3 linked regions of the Diceros bicornis minor genome follow. The protein of the gene in region 2 interacts with the protein of the main gene of each other region in a biochemical or structural test. Links are inferred from orthologs where the notes say so. Each region holds a gene or a part of one and is shown on either strand. Other genes may lie near its edges. The genes, in order: NET1, DLG4 and SIPA1L1.

Region 1 (3,744 bases), on a different chromosome or scaffold from region 2:
GCACAGGGGAGGTCAGAGCGCCCTTCTTGCACCTGCTGTTTTTCAAGTGCCTGTAGCTCAAAATAATCCTCGTGCCAAAGTGGCATATTCTGCCACTCCTCAATGTAAATATAATTTTATTTCTTAGGATAGATTCCCAGAAATGGAATCATAGTGTCAAAGGAGAGATTATTTTTAAAGCCTTTGACACATAAAAAGCAATATTTAAAATCAAAGAATGTGCTCATTTAACAACTGTCTTTTTATTTGAGAAGGTCCTTTATTTGATGTTGTTACTTCGGCTGCCTTTTTAATAATCAGAGGATGAAGGCACTTTCACTTTCTTTTGCTAAGGAGAGACTGTCTCTTTGGAACTGGGAGACAGGAGGGCTCACAATTAGATACCACTGGTTTCCTACAGACAGCCTTAAGAACACATTTCCACTCCCTTTGGTAAACGGGGATTTATCTCACGTGAATAATTTAGCGTATATGTGGCTAATAACCAAACCTCATTATAAGTCATTACTTTCAGCCTCTCTTCTCACCAAATGCTGAGAAAGATCTAAAATGCTTCCAATTTCATTGGCCTATGGTGAAAGTCCTAATAAACAATGCAGTAGGCAGCAGGCTTTGGGGATTTAGGAATGGAGCCAGAATTCAGTCCAAGGCCACTCACTTATCTGCATGGCTGGCCGCTCTGACCACCCTCCCTTTCCTGCCTCCACTTAAGCGCCTGGAAGGCGTGGAGGTGGAGAGGGGCGGGACTCACGTTTCCTAGCAACCGTCCCCTGTCCCCTGATTGGCTGATCTCCTGCGGCCGCCATTTTCAAACCCCGGAAGATGGCGGCGGCGGCGGCGACTTCGTGACAGAAACTGCTCTTTGGGCAGAAGTGGTCGGGCGCCGTGCCGGTCCCCGCGGGCCTCCCGGGCACCCGGCCACCTCCCCACCCCTCCGCGCCATGGAGCCCGAGCTGGCGGCCCCAAAGCAGCCCCGGCCGCGGAGGCGAAGCCGCCGGGCCTCCGGGCTCAGCGCGGACGGCGCCGCGGGGCCTTCGGCCGACAACCCCAGGCCGGAGCTGGACGGCAGGTGAGCGCGGGGGTCGGCAGCGACTGGGGACCCGGGCGTCCGGTCCGAGGCCCGGGCCGGGGGGTAATGGGAGAGGGGGGTGAGGGGAGCGGGGAGGGGCGGGCTGCTCACCCTCCTCCTCCGGCCCTTCCTCAGGCGGGGCGCGGGCTCCTCCTCCTTCCTACCCACCCCCTTCTTTTAGGCGGGCGGCACGGGCTGGTCACTCACCTCCTCCTCCGGACCTTCTTCAGGCGGGGCGCCGGAAGATCACCCTCCCCCCCCTCCTCCGGACCCTCGGGCGGGGGCGCGGGGAGGTCACCCTCCCCCCCCGACCCTCCTCGGGCGGGGGCGCGGGGAGGTCACCCTCCCCCCCCCTCCTCCGGTCCCTCCTCGGGCGGGGGCGCGGGGAGGTCACCCTCTCCCCCCAATCCAGACCTTCCTCGGGCGGGGGCGCGGGGAGGTCACCCTCCCCCCCTCCTCCCGACCCTCCTCGGGCGGGGGCGCGGGGAGGTCACCTTCCCCCCTCCTCCTCCGGACCTTCCTCGGGCGGGGGCGCGGGGAGGTCACCCTCCCCCCGATCCAGACCTTCCTCGGGCGGGGGCGCGGCGAGGTCACCCTCTCCTCTTCCGGACCTTCCTCGGGCGGGGGCGCGGGGAGGTCACCCTCCCCCCTTCTCCGGACCTTCCTCAGGCGGGGGCACGGCGAGGTCACCCTCTCCTCCTCCGGACCTTCCTCGGGCGGGGGCGCGGGGAGGTCACCCTCCCCCCTTCTCCGGACCTTCCTCAGGCGGGGGCACGGCGAGGTCACCCTCTCTCCCTCCTCCAGACCTTCCTGAGGCGCGGGTGCGGGGAGGTCACCCTCTCCCCTGATCCAGAACTTCCTCAGGTGGGTGCGCGGGGAGGTCACCCTTCCCCCTCCTGCAGACCTTTCTCGAGACGGTGGGGGGGGTCACTCTCCCCCCCCCGACCTTCCTCAGAAGGGGAGTCGGGCTGCTCCCCCTCCTTCTCCTCAGACCCTTTCTTGGGGGGCGCGACGCGGGGTCGCCAGTGGAGGTTGGTTATCCACACCCAGTGGGCTCCGGGCTGGAATGTGAGCGTTCCTAAATGCAAATGACAACACAGAAACTGTGCTGGAGCCTGCGGGGCTAGGGGAGAGGAATTGTCACCGCAGCCACGATAACTTCAGACGCCAAACTTTTAGCCTAAAAGCGAGCGTTAAAATGAACTGTTTTTCCGAGGCCAGAATCCTTTTCGAGAACTGGCCAAGTCGCTGAACAGAGCACAGTTCACGCCTCTAGCCTCCTGGGTGAAGAGATCGAAGAGGACAGTCACTGACTTTTTAACTATTGACACATTTCCCGTTCTGTCTCCCGTGACAGTAAAGGATGGACACTAGATGAGGGTTTCAGAAGGTTGTGTCTGGAGGAGGAGCGCTGTAAGAGGAAGTACTGAAGACGTTGCTTTCCCATCACAGTATTGGAGGTGGTAGGTTCCAATGACTGGTTGTTGGACCTTGCATCTCCAAGGCTGTCTTCATCTGTAAAGTGGGCCTTATAATAGTTTCCACTTCCTCTAAGTTGTTGTGAAATTCAGTGAGATAATACATGTAAGGTGTATACCTAGTAGCTGTACACAGAGAGTTCTCAATAAATGTTAAACTGTTATTTGTTGGTTTTTGTAAGAATATTTCCACCTCTGCTTTATCTTTTCAAAAGTCCCTGTGGTCCATTTCACATTATTGCTTTAGATAAACTACAGTCCCTTACACAATTTACTTTGCAGTCATGGCTGGATGTGCTGATCCCTTTTTGAGAGAGAGATAGGAAAACACCTTACTTTCATCAACAAGGCATTTATAAACCCATTGTGAGTTACTCTGCTTAGGGTAATCCTTGCCTGAATATACCTTCATGAAGCCTTTATACAGACTACAGCCTAAATTTAAGAGGTAGATGGAAGAGCAGAGAGAAAGAAGTCTTCATTTCTGAGATTGAGAAGCAGGAGAACCAGGAAAGACTAGTTAAGAGAAAATGAAAACAGAATTTCAAAAACGTCAGACAAAGGCAGTGTTAAATTCATTCTACATTCATTCAGTAATGCTATTGAGCACCTGCCTAGTGCCAGGCATTGTTGTAGATACTGGGAATTCTGGTGAACAAGGGAAGATGAAGTCCCTGTTCTCATGCAGCTTAAATTCTGGTTGAGGGAAAAAATAATAATCAAGTGAATATATAAAATAGCAGGTGGTCATGCTGTGAATAGAAGTAAGGCATGGTAAGGGGGACAGAAGTAAGGAGAGAGTGATGTTGCTATTTTAGGAAAAATCACAAGGAAAAGCCTCTCTGATGATAATGATGACATTTGAGCAGAGATCTGAAGAAATTAAGGAACTAAGCTGTGTAAATATTTGGAGAGAGGGGCAGCAAGTGCAAAGGCTTTGAAGTAGAATCCTATTTGATGTGTTTAAGGAACTGCAAAGAATCCAAGATGACTGGAGTGGAATAAAATAAAAGGGAGAATGGTAGAAGATGAAGTCAGAAATGGCTGGGGCCAGATCATGTAGTACCTGGTAGACCGCTGAAAGGACTTTAAGTTTGAATGAGTGAGTTGAGAAGCAAGAAGAAATGATGTGATCTATATTTTTAAAGGATCAATCTGTTATGTGGCAAGGATAGAATCAGGGAGACCAATTAGGAG
Region 2 (3,744 bases):
CATGGCAACGGCGGCAGCAGCGCGGGGAGAAGGGGGAGGGACGGGGGCGGAGTGGGAGAAAGATGCTCAGAGACAGAGAGACAGGCAGAGATATAGGCACGGAGTAAGACTAAGTGATAGCTATAAAGGCAGAGTTAGCACAAAGCACAGGGCCTGGCACATAGTGGCATTCAATAAATGTTCCTTAAATCACTGCGGCAGGAGTCTAAATATAGGCAATGAAAAATGGAGGACTCAGACGGAGCTGGGAAGCTCAACGACCGCAAAGCCTGGGCACCCCCTTCCCCACACAGCATTTTGGGGGAAAAAGTGCCATGTGCCCCCTGCTGGCTCCTCCTGGGCTACCCTTCGCTGCCCTGGATAGAGATGAACCACAACTCCCAACAGCCCCACCGGCAGCAGCCCTCTAACACTGAGGGATCTTGTGCCTCAAGGTCTTATGGGAGTTGGAGTCCCCGCCATCCCAAGACTGCCAAGTTTTCCGGCCAAGTAATATGGTAAGCCTGGGTCTCCATGCCTCTGTAAAACCCCAAATGCATGATCCTCTCTGCACAAGGCTCTTTCCTTCGGAGAGGCTCAACCCTGGGCTCCATCGAAGAAGTAGGAGTCTGGAAGGGAAATGAATAAGCCACCCTCCCAGAATAGCTGCCAGTGCAGGCAAGCCCCTCACCCTCACTGGCGTTATGTTCACGTGTTGGAAGCAGAGCCTACACATTCCAACTGGCTCTCTGTGTACACCTGTACACAGGAGACCACAGCCAGGGAGCCTAAGGTTAAGGGGCAGGCTAAGGGCAGGAGACAGGTGGAGCAGAGGATCAGATAGACATTAAAGGAGACCAGGCCAGAGAAACTGAGGCACCAAAATCCACTGAAACTACAGGGGGTGAGGGAAAGAAGCAGTGTGGGAGAAAGCCCAAAGCCCACAAAACAGGGTACAAGCAAGTAGCCCTGGAGAGGGGGTGGGGGCTCCGAACCTAAAGGTCCTCAGCCCCCAGTCTCTTCCATCCATGCTCACATGTGTACAGCGCATGTGTACACACATGTGTGAGTTTGTGGCACAGAACATGTGTGTCCTCAGCTCCCTCCCCTGAGAAGCTGCAGTTCCCACTAAATATAACCCCCTCCCCAGCCAGTGACTCACCCGGACCCCGCCTCCCCGGCCCCCACTTCCTGTCCCACCCCCCAACCCCCAGCTGCCTGCCACCCGCCCAAGCCTCCCTCCATACACCAGGCATCCAGCTTTCCAGTTCCAGAGTCTCCCGGCCAAGACCTAGGTATTCTGCATCCCACCAGGAGCTTGCTTGCGCTCCCCATCCAAGATCTCCTGCCCTTTCCAGGCCCCAACCACAAGGCCACCTTTGTACAGATCCTTACTGCTGCCAGCCCTGCCCTCCTCCTACTCCTTTTCACCCCAGTAACCTTAAATCCAGGTGTCCCCCCAACCTTGATCCTAAGTGTCAGGGGTAGTAACAGGAACAGTCCCCTCCATCTGCTCTTCTCCCTCTTTCTCAACCAGGGGTAGATACAGTGTAGGAGGGGATGGGGACATTGGGAACCTGCCTGGGCCACCTCCAAATTTTGTACCACCTACCTGGTTCCCCTCCTTAAATCCCCTCTCTCTCAAAACCTCCCATCGTCCTCCTCAGGAGCTGGCAACCTCAGCTGCCGCAACCTTCTACGTCCCATGGGAGTACCCCCAAATCCTAACCTCACCTGGTCCATTCCCTCAGGTGATCCTATGCCAGACCCCAGCCCTCTGACAACTCCCAACTATCCCCATTCCATATGATCGAACCCTAAATTAACAGTTCCTTCAAATTGAGCAGACCCTCAAATGTATCTACCATGAGACGCTTGTTCCATAGCCTGAAGGCCCACCCTTTCCCTGCCAGCTGACACCCCCAGACCAGTCAGGCACTCCCAACCAATAACCTTCTACCCCCAAGCCAGGAGCCCCCTGAAATTAGACAAGGCACCTGGAAGCCAGCTTGTCCCCCAGGGGGAAAAAGGACCCCCCCACCACGTAGTCCACCTAACATACACAAGAGCAGAACTCCCATGTGAGCTAGGCTTCTCCTTAAATAAGTCTCCCTCAAACATCATTGGTGAACCCCAAAACCCACAAGACCCCCCAAACCATGGAATACACCAAATTTTCCATTTCTCTACAGGTACAAAGGGATCACTCCGGGGGCACCTGTGGCCAAACCAAGCGTTTTCTCAGATGTGCACCCCAAAAGTAAATTATGACCCTGAGATACATCTTCTGATGCTCTCACTCCAGGCCCCCTGGCCCCAGATTAGGCCTGCCTAACCCCTCCCCACAAACTCATACCCTCCCCCCAGTTTACAGACCCCCCATCACGCTTACCTTGGTTGTCACTATACAGAGACAGTCCATGTTGGGGGGCCTGGCCGCGGCGGCGGGTAAGGGGCTCTGACTTCATCGGAGTTTCCTTCCTCCCCTCCGTCGGTTCTCACCCCTCCCCCCTCCGCACCCCACTTTTGCAGGGGGAGCCAGGATGGGGGGAGGGGTGAGAGGGGAAAGAGGGGGTTGGAGAAGGAAAAGGTAGGGAAGCGTGGGAGGGAGGGGAAGGGGGCCCTAAAAGGGGGTCCCCAATGGAGGGGAGGGGGCTCGGGGAGCACACCCCGATTCTCAGGAGGGGCGGGGGCACCGGGGGCTGGCAGCCCCGGAGTTCGGGGGCTGGGGCATGAGCTGAGGTGGGGGAGGGGAACTGGATTCTGGGGAGCCCCGGGGTAGGGGGGGGTCTTGCCTAACGGCCAGGGGCTAGGGGCCGTGGCGGGGGAGTGGGGTGGGGGGGTCGGAGGCGGCAGCGGCCGAGGGAGCCGTGGAGCCGAGGAGGGAAGGGGAGAGAGGAGGAGAGAGGAAGCAGGGGGAGGGAGGGAGCGAGCGAGGAGCGAGAATGGGGGGGGTGCCTTGGCAGAGTTAACTCCTTCAGTGCTGGCAGGAACCCGGATAATGGGAGAGGAGATGGAAGCAGGAGAGGAGAGGCCCTGAGGCAAACATGGAGACCTGGCCAGCCACCAGCGATACAGCAGAGACGATGAGGATGGGTTTCATTTCTCAGAGGAAGCACCCAGAGTCGGGCTGGGAGCACCCACGGTTGTTTAAATACTGGAGACAGCCCGTGATAGGGGGCAGGGGGTGAGGGAGGGGCTGGCAGGAGGGAATCCCTGGGGGCCTAGTTCTCCCTCGGGATTCACAGGAGGAAGCCTGAAAAGTAATTACGTCCTGGACTCTTAGTGCCTGAAATTGGGGCAGGCAAAGAAAGGGGGGAAGCAAGAGGGAGAAGAGGCTGCAGGACAGGAGAAAGTGCATTCTCCATGCCCCTCACTCAGAATTTCATCCCCAGGGCCCCCAAGTCTCAGTTAAATATTAGCAGTGCCTCCCTCAGTACTTTGCTCCAGCCCTGCCTCCTCCCTCAGGAAGTCAGTCCCCCCACCCCACCCCCTTACCTGACTCTCTGAGATGGAAGCCTCATAATAGTCCAGGATGTCTGTCACAGGAACAGAACTGAGTTACCCTCCCCTGCCCCTGCCTCCCTGGCCATCCCTGCCATCATTGGCCTCCTTCTGTCTGGTCAGGGAGGAGCTCCTCCAGCCGAGCCTGGTGGACGCTGATGGAGGACACTGTCAGGATGACCCCTGCGGGGGCTCCTGCTTGAACCAAATGATCTCCAGGCTCTCAACCAGCCCCTGAGATGGATAATTGCCCTCGCAGGA
Region 3 (3,744 bases), on a different chromosome or scaffold from region 2:
CTTATACTGTTCCACCTCTCCTCATGCTCCTGTCGCACAGCTCAGCGACAGAAAACAGCCATTTATTGAAAAATTCAAACTGCAAACCTTAGAACATATACATATTTCAACTCTGATGGATTCCCCCAAAGTCTACAAAACCGCCATCTTCAAGCAATCTTCAATCAATGTTTCAATAAAGTTACTAGGTGTTTTTAAAAGGGGGCATGGAGGGGAGGGCTCCACCAAAACTACACACATAATCAAAGTAAAAGCAAAGTAAATACTAAAGCCAGAAAACAGTGAAAGGAAAGAATTAAAAGAATCTCAATATAAAATTTCTGTGAGATGTTTTGAAATTCTTACCAAGGTTTAGGTCAACCTTGCCACAGAATCCTACAAAGAAGCCACAGCTAACACTGCCTGACGCTTCAGACAGAAAAAGTTCACTGCACCAGAATTGCAATCTCAAACTCGAGGAGCAGTACCAGGAACTGCAGAGAAGCTAACAGCAACACCTACTGACTGTCTTGAGCCACTTGCCAAACTCGTTCTCTCAGTCAACCGGAAAAGCCCAATGATACAGTCAACGTCGGGAGTCCTTTACTTAAGCACAATGAGATAAGAAAACAAGTTGTCAGCCGCATTAAACCATTCATCCCCCAAAATCTCTTATTTTGCCCCTAACCATTTATGTGCAAATCCTCACCCAGGTCATTTTAAATGCATTGTTAACTGCTAATGCCTTAGTATAAATAATTTATTCCATGGGAAAAATGTTTTAATATTAATCTCGTTAATAACTGGTATGTGATCTAATAGTTGGACACATCAGTGACCATAAACTGCTTTATTTGAGACTACTGTTGTTACCACTGTTCTATATTATTCCCATCAGCGTTTTTTTTTTTTCCCACCCTGGTAAAGGTGGCTTAATTGCAGCTTTCAAAAAATTGAAAAAGGGAAAAGCGAAAGTCGTTAAATCAGGATAATATAGAAAATTAATATTGTTACTAAACTGGCCGCAGAGAATGATTGTACAGGACTTAACCTTGTACTTTTCCAAAAGATTAAGTCAGAGAATCTTTGCCTTGGACGAATATTCCATAGGAGAAAACAAGAGAAAGTTGACAAACTCCCACAGAGTACCAGGATAAAAACAATGGCTTTAAGAATCTGAGTCAGAGTTTCAACATGAAAGGTTTGCTTTATAGAGGAAACGCCAACCCCAGTTCATCCAGATAGACCTGGAACCTGATGAAAGTCGACACTCACTCTGAAATTTGCATCGCATCACTGGTTCCCAGTTTAGAAACATAATCGTTTAGCAGGTAGTAAGAATTTCAGTGAATGCTGCCTCTAAACTACCCGGCATAAAAATAAAATCTATAAGGTAAATGCAGTCTAGGAGCCATCAGTCCCCAAAAGCTTCCCTTCAAAAATGAATACCAACTACTCACTTAACAACACCTTCCTTAAAAGTGAGCCATTTCCCTTGTCTCTAGATTTTCCAAACGGTGAACCCGATGGAATTTCAACCTGCCCACCACGATTTCTTGTCCGCCTAGAAATGCCGTGGAGCGACAAGGAGGCTCGCAAATTTCCTTTAAGGTCAGGAGACAAGTTGGAAACAGAAAGGGCGAAGGAGGAAAAGTTCTTCTTGCAGGACCCTCATGCGTGCCCAGCCCTCTCGAGGTTTACTTGCTCCAAGGAAAGCAGTTAGAGCATCCCAGACTTGCACCGCCCCCGCCCAAGACCCTTGGGAGAGAAATTAACCACCCGCGGCCACCGAGCTGCTCTTCTCCCTCTCTGGTGATTAAACCTCTCGGCCTGTCCCCTCCAGCACAGCCTGCAAAGCGCTCACCCAGGTGACTGAAGGGGAAGGGTCGCCCGGTGGAGACGAGAGCAGCGGGGTGGGCGCAGTCACCCCGACGGGAGCGCGGGTCTCCCGGCCTCTCGCACAGGCGCCTGGCCGGTAGTTGTGCAGATTCGGATTCCGAGATGCGTGCGCGCGCGCCAGGCGCTGTGCAGCCCGGACTCGCCCCCGCGGGGCTGCGCTATCAGCACGCCACCAAATCGGAAATAAAACTTTGACCGGCCTCCCGGTGTCCTGCTCCGGGCCCTGGACCCGAGCCCCAGCCAGAAATGGAGTGGGGGGCTGTCAACAGTCCTGCACCCCTGCTCGGCCCCGGGGCGCGGGAGCCACTTACCGCTGGGCCCGGCCTCCGAGTGCCGCCGCGCGTCCGGGGCGCGTCCGCCGCGCGCTCTCTCTGGGGAGAAAGAGAAACCGTGTAGACGGTCGGCGCGCGCTCCCTCGCCGCCTCCTCTGCGGAGAACGGCAGGCAGCAAGGCCGGGGCGGGCGCCGAACGGAGGGGGGCCCGGAGGAGGCGGGGGCGGAATCAGCCCAACTCCGGAGCCTGGCTCCGGGGGGGACCCGGAATGCAGGCTGGAGAGCTGCCGGCGGGGGCCGCGCTCCTGGAGGAGTGGGGGGCGGAGGTGCCCCCGTCCCCGGACATCAACTATTGTCTGGGCGCCCGGGTCTCCGCTCGCGCCGCCTCCGAGGCTCAGCGCCCCCCATTCCGCCCGCCTGCCCCCAGGAGAAAGAGCTGAGGGGGCGGACGGCGCGGGAAGGGAGTGCGAGCTGACTGGGAGTCCAGTGTCCGGAGGTCGGAGGTGGGCGCGGGGGAAAGGGGAGGTGCGTGCCGAGTGGGGGAGGGGACAGGTAACTGCAGAAGGGGGCGGGAAGGCCCGGGAGGCCCCGTGGGGGGAGGAAATGGCGAGGGAGCCAGGGAGGCGGGAGAGGATGAAGTGACTGGGGGTGGCCTCTGAAACCCCGATCTGGCCCTCCCCGGGGACCCTCCTCCTGGAACTCGGCGCCGCACTGACTTTTTCGCTCACTCGCTCACGCACGCACTGAACTCGCTCACAAAGTTGCCGGCGGTGGCGGCGCCTCACTGGCCCTTCCCTCCCCTCCCCACCCCTCTCTTCTCCGCCTCCCTGCCCCATTCCTTCCCCTCGTTCTCTCCCTCCCGCCCCAAGTCTCGGGTGAGATCACTGCTGGGCTGCTCAGCGCGGCTCGCAAATCTCGCGAGAGAAGCGGCAGCGCAGCCCTGCCGGCGGGGGAAGTGGAAGGAGTCGGAGGGAAGTGGGGAACCGTGGAACTCCTGGTTGCTATGACGATGGCAAAGCCCTGGGTTCCTGTCTTCTGCAGAGAGCACAGGCAGCAAACGTGGGTGCAGTTTTCAACCTGCCCCCTCCCTTGCCCGGCCCCTAATGGTGGAGGAAGCGAAAGCAAGAAGCGGAAGGCGGATTCTTAAGCCTATTCAAGAAGGCATCTGTAGAAGACCAGCTTCATGATATCTGGCCCAATCTGGCAAATGAGGCTAATTGGTTTTTTTTCAGAGGTTCCAGGGCAGATTTCTGCCAGAGAAGCCAGTGTATATCTGTACCCCCAAATTTCTACTATATATTCAGTTTTTCAAGCTTCTCGTCTAATCTCATCCCCAACCCCCACTCCATATGCTCGCTCTCTCCTTTTCCCCCACTCCACCTCCCCATCACCACCAGCACCACCAGACTGGGCTCCTTGAAGATCTGCCCTATTCATCTTTGTATTCTCAGCTCCTCTACAGGCTTGGTACATAGTAGGTATTTACTTATTGTCTTTTGGGGAAAAAAGTGAACGCCACAGTCTGTCCGTGTCTTCAGTACTTTCCTTTGACTCTATAGAGTCCTTAGGCTTAGAATACGTTTCTGCTCCACAG

The links.
Region 1: the proteins of DLG4 (region 2) and NET1 interact in a biophysical measurement, tested with the Homo sapiens proteins (2 studies listed by IntAct, with this or other methods). The link is inferred for Diceros bicornis minor from reciprocal best matches to the Homo sapiens genes DLG4 and NET1.
Region 3: the proteins of DLG4 (region 2) and SIPA1L1 form a complex in vitro, tested with the Homo sapiens proteins (2 studies listed by BioGRID and IntAct, with this or other methods). The link is inferred for Diceros bicornis minor from reciprocal best matches to the Homo sapiens genes DLG4 and SIPA1L1.

Annotation. Positions count from the first base shown.
Region 1 is NC_080775.1:6,573,744-6,577,487, forward strand, and holds the start of NET1 (neuroepithelial cell-transforming gene 1 protein), read left to right. Parts: upstream 1-826; 5' UTR 827-941; coding exon 942-1,069; intron 1,070-3,744. UniProt on the Homo sapiens protein: Acts as a guanine nucleotide exchange factor (GEF) for RhoA GTPase. May be involved in activation of the SAPK/JNK pathway Stimulates genotoxic stress-induced RHOB activity in breast cancer cells leading to their cell death.
Region 2 is NC_080757.1:11,068,477-11,072,220, reverse strand, and holds the start of DLG4 (disks large homolog 4), read right to left. Parts: upstream 2,846-3,744; 5' UTR 2,402-2,845; coding exon 2,372-2,401; intron 1-2,371. UniProt on the Homo sapiens protein: Postsynaptic scaffolding protein that plays a critical role in synaptogenesis and synaptic plasticity by providing a platform for the postsynaptic clustering of crucial synaptic proteins.
Region 3 is NC_080763.1:19,729,820-19,733,563, reverse strand, and holds the start of SIPA1L1 (signal-induced proliferation-associated 1-like protein 1), read right to left. Parts: upstream 2,790-3,744; 5' UTR 2,190-2,789; intron 1-2,189.